Neodiprion lecontei: one gene and its partner. The protein of the gene in region 2 binds, or shares a complex with, the protein of the main gene of each other region. Links are inferred from orthologs where the notes say so. Each region holds a gene or a part of one and is shown on either strand. Other genes may lie near its edges.

The links.
Region 1: glutamyl-tRNA(Gln) amidotransferase subunit B, mitochondrial (region 2) and glutamyl-tRNA(Gln) amidotransferase subunit C, mitochondrial share a complex: the UniProt entries of both Drosophila melanogaster proteins name them as parts of the heterotrimeric GatCAB amidotransferase (AdT) complex. The link is inferred for Neodiprion lecontei from reciprocal best matches to the Drosophila melanogaster genes GatB and GatC.

Annotation. Positions count from the first base shown.
Region 1 is NC_060262.1:16,883,646-16,886,369, reverse strand, and holds glutamyl-tRNA(Gln) amidotransferase subunit C, mitochondrial, read right to left. Parts: upstream 1,410-2,724; 5' UTR 1,035-1,409; coding exon 627-1,034; downstream 1-626. Other genes in the region: DNA polymerase subunit gamma-2, mitochondrial, read right to left, coding at 48-590. UniProt on the Drosophila melanogaster protein: Allows the formation of correctly charged Gln-tRNA(Gln) through the transamidation of misacylated Glu-tRNA(Gln) in the mitochondria. The reaction takes place in the presence of glutamine and ATP through an activated gamma-phospho-Glu-tRNA(Gln).
Region 2 is NC_060261.1:6,985,311-6,989,248, reverse strand, and holds the start of glutamyl-tRNA(Gln) amidotransferase subunit B, mitochondrial, read right to left. Parts: upstream 2,896-3,938; 5' UTR 2,490-2,895; coding exon 2,278-2,489; intron 2,023-2,277; coding exon 1,875-2,022; intron 1,786-1,874; coding exon 1,672-1,785; intron 1,486-1,671; coding exon 1,313-1,485; intron 612-1,312; coding exon 463-611; intron 393-462; coding exon 157-392; intron 1-156. Other genes in the region: protein lin-7 homolog C, read right to left, coding at 3,265-3,429, 3,556-3,801. UniProt on the Drosophila melanogaster protein: Allows the formation of correctly charged Gln-tRNA(Gln) through the transamidation of misacylated Glu-tRNA(Gln) in the mitochondria. The reaction takes place in the presence of glutamine and ATP through an activated gamma-phospho-Glu-tRNA(Gln).

The DNA of each region.
Region 1 (2,724 bases), on a different chromosome or scaffold from region 2:
TATTAGATTCAGATATTATAGTTAAGATTTAAGAATTTACATCGTACCTGCAAATAACATTCCACTTTGCCAAATGATACAACTTCAACACTTAAATCTTGAGATGGCAAATGAGCTTGAATACTCATAACTTCACGATTTTCATTTTTTTCAGAATTTGTCGTTACAAATCGGGATGGATTATTGCTGAACTTGCGCCACCAAGCCTTGCGCTCTCTCTGTTTCCTGTAGAATAAATCTTTGGCCGAAGTTTTCTCACCGAACGTCATTACACTCATTCTTGTGCATAAAGGAGGCAGCGGAAGGTCAAGCATTTTGCTTTGTCTTTGGTCATTTTCAGTTGTTTCTATTGATGCTAGACCGAACGGTAGTCCGTCACATCTCGAGTCCCTGAGATATCGTAGGGTTCTCGAGACTTGAGAAATCTGAGTTGGATAAACGTTGTATTTTTCTGATACAACACAATATTTCCACCAAACGTCTTCGACATTTCGTAGAAGGAATCGTCCAGAAGGGCCATAAATAAATTCTGTTTCCGAAACGGTCAGAAAGTCTGTGCCTAGCAGAGACAATATTTTATTGGCTTTCATCACGCTGCTTCAGTTTGCATATAGAATTTACAGTAGCTAGTATTTGTTGGTAGTGAGATTAACGGGAACGTTGCCCGGTGGAGCTATAAAGTAATCTTCCTCTGTTAAAGCGGCGTTCTTCAACACCTTTTTGGTGTAACCACCATCGAAAACTTGATCGTCTCTAAGTTTAAGTTTTTGATTTTCGAGCACGGTATACATTGGCTGGATGTCGGCGTTGAGTTCTACCAACCACAGTTGCTTAGCAAAAGTAATTGCGGATTCTAGTCTGGCGATACCTTCCGCGCTGCCGAAGTTTACCAAAGATAACCTTTCCAGTTGTTCGATGGACTTATTGTCTACAACCAAAGTGAAGTTGTCGGTATCGTGTGATGATTTAGTTGTAAACTGCCGCAGGTGGAATCTATTCCATCCATTGTAAGTAACACGTCCAAATCTGATCATTAGTGCTTTGAAAATCTAGCAATGACGTGCGTTAGAACTACTGAAATAGAGATATACTGAACCGCTTACTCTCGCTGTTGGGGTAGTATATTCGCTCGCAGAGAGAGATCGCTCAACAGAGGATCCTTGTCTTTTTCTGTACAGTCCCAACCAGAAAGTTGTCCTCGTAATCAAAACGCATACTTGTACACGTGAAATGCGTGAGGATAGTGTTGGGTAAGTCCGTGGTTTTAGGTGTACAGGAACGATGGCTAATAGTTTACAATAGTGCGAATGACTGAATACATTGTACACCGCTTGAAATATTGTGACATTCACATGCCATATGCATTAATGCCGCTGATAGCCAGGTCATGCGTTTTGTTTACAAGGATAACATTCTGGTTGGGACTGTACAGAAAAGGACAAATATTCCCTGTTGAGCTGTCTCTCTCTGCGACCCCCTGTGACGTCGGAACAGTACCTAGTGGAAATCTCCAGATGTTAGACACCGGAAACATTCACACGCAGCTACAGCTAGACTCACATCAGTAGTTTGGGTCACCAATTACCGATTAAGTATTGAAATACACCGGACAACGGGCATTCTGTCGCTCTAGTCGAACGAACAGAAGAGGGAGAAATTGTTGGATAAAAGATTTAATTTGGCTTACCTTTTTGAGAGTATTCTGGATGCGATGGCTTGTAGATTGGTGAGAGGTTTTAGCGGAATAACTGACTTTAATATTTGGATATTTTGACTAACTTGGTTTATTTTATAAGTTTGATATTTAAAAGTCACAAACGCAGAGTTACACAGTGTAAGATCTTAAACTTAGTATGACAAAATGGAGTTGAAGCTCGCTGAACTTTTGGGCAGAGTAACGTTGTATGAAAGTTTTAATGCAAAAGGCTAAAGGATTTTACCGCGAGACTGCACCGGAACAAGATCACGAATCTGGAGGTAGAAACCGAGAGGACGATCGAGTGATCGGTCGCCGTTTTTATAGGGGGCGATCGTTGCGCAGAACGATCCCCCTCTTTAGTTTTTTGGTCACCTTTGCGCACCTCCCTCCTTTTCCTAGGAACTAATTAGGGCACGACATCCTCGTGCATGCACCCCTGTTATCTTAGTCCATTAGCTATTACTATATTGTAGGTTTTTACGTATGGTATAATATATTATGGAGTCTTGTATGGTATAACGCTGCTCGGTGCGGTGGTGTAGGTGCGTGGGCTTTGTTCCGTAGTTCTCCGAACTGGGTGAGCTTTTCGTTGAGGCGCCAGCCCCCTTTCTGGACCCCCTCAGCCACTTAACTTCTTCCTGTCTACCTCTTAATGTTTTTGCTATCTTGCTCGTTACAAAGCCCATATTTCATTTTGGTTACCTGTCGTTTGTTAGTTTTATGGCTGTTTCTATATAGAGTTACATATGTATTATAGTCGACTACTGTCGTTATTAACCTGGAGTACAATGGCGATTGTTTATAAAACATAGTTTGTTATTTGCTTAAGGGGGGGGGTAAGGTATTAAATTTTTTTTTTTTTCAATTTTTTTTTATTTTTCTAATTGATTGCACAATATGTCAAGAATATTGTGTTAAAATTTCAAGTCGATTGAAGCAAAATTGAGGAAGTTATGAGTAAGCGTCCGTTGCTCCGGGATGAGGTTTTATACCTGACCGACAGTTACGCGACGCGCTCACCCGGC
Region 2 (3,938 bases):
ACAGTAAACGAAGATTTTGTAAAAAGTTGAAAGACTTCTCAGTAAAAAACGGAATCGCCATGTCACTTAAATGTGACAAGATTGTCAACCGCTATAATAGAATTGCGCAACACACTCTTACAGAAATACCATATTTTCAAAGTATGCATTCTATACCTGCTTTTCTTCTTTATCTCGCATTGGAACTGTTTTGCGAATTTCCGTGTCCCATGACCTTGTTTCATTAATAATTGTACCACCATTCTCAATTTCTGTAATCTGTCTGTCAATTTCAAACTTTACAGCAGCTGCCACTGACCTAATACTTCCAATGTTCTTGACTTCTGTTCGCGTGCCCAATTTTTCCCCTGGTCGATTCACAGAGATATTGGCGTCAACTCGAAGGGCGCCCTCTGAATTCAGATCATTATGCGTAATGGCCATACTTCTTTGTTGTTAATCTTTTTTTTCATACCACTTTACCTTCCATTTTACAGGAGCACGTCCCCAATCTTTTCAGAATGAGTACGATCTCTTTGACTAGCGCAGCAGCCTCTTCGCCATCTGATAAGTCCGGCTCGAATACCAATTCCATCAGTGGTATCCCTGCTCGATTAAGATCGACCAAACTTCTGTTATTGTTGATCATAAAATAAAAATTCAATCCGTAAGTGTCTGTTAATATCTTTCAAGTTGATAATGGTCTGAGACAAAGTAAAGAATTTAAGTATTTGACCCAAAAGTGTAAGGCATAATCGAAATTAAAGCTAAACTTCAGAAGGTAACGATTTTGAGTTCTCAAGTTTTGTTTAAGCCAGGGCAAATATAACAAGGACATTCAAGACTTCACGTAGGTATAGATTTTTAGAATTTTTACAGAAATTTCACACACATGAAAATTAGAAATGTACTCTGCAGTGCTTTGTGTAAGACACAGATTGATCTGAAACAGCTTAAACTCGTGCGCTTCACGAAATGGAATCAATATATAATAATGGCTAGCACTTGGTTTCCAAACTCTTCGTACATGGTATAGTGAGAAAGCGAAAATTGCAGATAAATCGGTGAAGACATACATAATTAATACTTGACAATACTTTTGGCATAAGCAGGAAACAATTTTTCTCCAAATTTGTATAGATGAGTTAGGAGGTTTGTTTTACCTATATTAAAATGATGTACAATCCGAACGCATTACGAGAATATTTATATAAGTCAGTGATTGTTTTACTTCAGCAACAGGTCTACCAGCGAACAAAATATCCACAATAATTAAGAGTAATTTAATTGTAGCAACAGTTACAGCAAATAGGTATTGAATCTCTGACAGCACCTTTTTGCTATTAAATCGTGTAAGCTTTTGCCACTATCTTGTTCCAGTTGCAGCTGCTTGATTTTAGAAACTTTGCTGTAGGGTCGTGGATGAATACCCGGTGTATATACTTGGAAATTGAGTTCTCCATCTATAGCCAAGGCTTGACGTTGCTGAGTTATTTGATATCCTGCCTGTAAATATGTATCATTTAGCCTCAAGCAATTTAATACTACCTGTCTAGAAGATTAACTCGTCGTGACAATATGCCCAACCACAGCTCATACAGTAATTGCATCAAATTTAAAAATGAAGTTCGCCATATTCAAACAGTGGGTTTTATAAAGTTCAAAATTTGAATTACTTTCTAGTCAACTTACTGGCAAATCTGCATAGAAATAATGTTTTCTATCAAACAATGATACTTCGTTTACTTTGCAGGATAGCGCCAGAGCAGTTAGTATTCCTGCTTCGACGCATCTTTTATTCAGTACCTAAAAATCATAATATCAAATTCATAAAGCAATTCACCTGCAAAAAGCAGATGCAGTACGAAACTTTACTCATCAGTGATTATCCTTACAGGTAGTGTTCCCGGTGTAGCACAATCAAAGAATGAAACGTTACTGTTTATCGGGGAACCATACATGGTGCTTGAACCAGAAAATAACTTTGAATTCGATTGAATTTGGGCGTGAATTTCGAGTCCAACGACACTGCGCCATTTTTTCCTAAAACATTTATTGGCATCAAGGAGTATTTCGAAACGAGCTAATGGAAATTTTTCAAAACGTTCCTGATGTGTTCATTGACACCATAGAAAATTGATTTTTTTTCACATGGATACTACACTTTTATGGAGGTATTTGTTAATCCTTATGAAATCGATTTTGTACCACTTTAAAGTAAGTTTCAAAAATGACACGCATGTCCCCCAGTTAAGTAGAAAGAATTTAAATAATTTTATAAATCTTGCTTGTTGTTACTTTGTTTCAGCTCGAGACTTGGCTTCTGTACCAAAACAATGTTTCAACATCCGGAGATAAGGCTTGTTTTCGCGCCATCGTTTGATGCAAGGGTTAATTTTCCAACAGTTCGTGTAATTCATTGGATATTTCAAATAAATTTTCACTATTTTTACAGGCTCTCCGTCGCTCGCGTTGGCTGTGTCGTATGTATTGTACGTACATACACGCATACATAACCTCGCCCCACAATTAGGTGTGATACGGATTGTCACAGCTGACGACCACTAAATTCTATCTAGATGGACCTATACCTATATTGAACACGTGCGCTTCGTGCAGCGCTAATATACGTTGTTCGCAGCGACCCTAGACGCGTGCAATCGATTCCACTCGCAAAATTACATCGACGTATATCAGAGTTAAGATCTTTTCGCGTGTTTAGAAGCATAATATTTTTATATCCGAGAATTAATTCAATGGACCCTGTTCAGACTAATCGAACCCTAGGGAAGCCAAACAAGACATGTAGGACATCGTAGAATCAATGACTGAGGATAAACGGATGAATTTTTTCGTTGCTTGAATGTCACTTCTGAGATTTGGATACTATGGGAAATTATGAAAGCTTAGTAATGATGCGTGTAATATTGCTTAAGACAATTACAAAGTGCTTGGTTTTTCAAGACGAGTCCACTCTTGGAATTTCCTTCAAACTTATATGTTTAAAAAGAAATTAAAGTTTAGAGGATTTGCCCGTACACTTATGATTGGGTTTAATTATATTGTGGATCGGTTTTAAACGGTTCATTAATGAATACTGATAATGTTCTTACGAGAGATGGTCATACAGAAGTTATTTCTAGGTGATGAATTACAAGATAATTAAGCCAGATATTAATTTGTCGCTTAAAACTATAATAATTAATATAAGTAACATTACATTGTATCTATATCAGTTATTCATAAATTCTATATATATGTAGTGATAAAAATAATCATTGCAGTCTACTGCACACGTTGACGCCTACGTGCAGTTTGGTGCGCATGTTTATCAAACCGCAATTCCATTTCCTCCAAAAGACGAGGAGTATAGCGAACAACTAACTTCACCGAGTTTTGGGCTTGTTTCAGCGATTCCACAGCTGTCTCATGATTTTCGCCTTCAATACACTAGAGGAAATGAGAAAAATACAATATTTACACTATCCTGTATCATCGTATAAATTCTTGAATGGCAACGTTCGAGTATGATTAAATCTTAATATTTCATCAATGTAAAAATTTCACATTACGTACCACGCCATTAACAGACAGTAACTGGTCACCACGTTTCAAACCACCATGTCTGTCGGCCACACCTCCTGGAATAATTCGAGATATATATACAGGTGAATTTTGCTCTTTTCCTCCCATCACATTGAATCCAAGACCCTCCTCTGTTTTCGGTAATTCAACAACTCGCGGATGGGCATGTCCTTCACTTGCCGCAAAAGCAGCCACAGTCGCCTTGGCTGTGGCGGAAGCACGCACATCTTGAGAACCCTGTACCAAAAATTCCACATACTCTTATATTAGAGTGGTTTTAAACAGGATAGTTCTAATAAACTCAAAGTCTCAAAAACTCATGAATGGCGTATGCCAGGCACCAATTAAAGTATATGTTACGAATCGTTTGAATG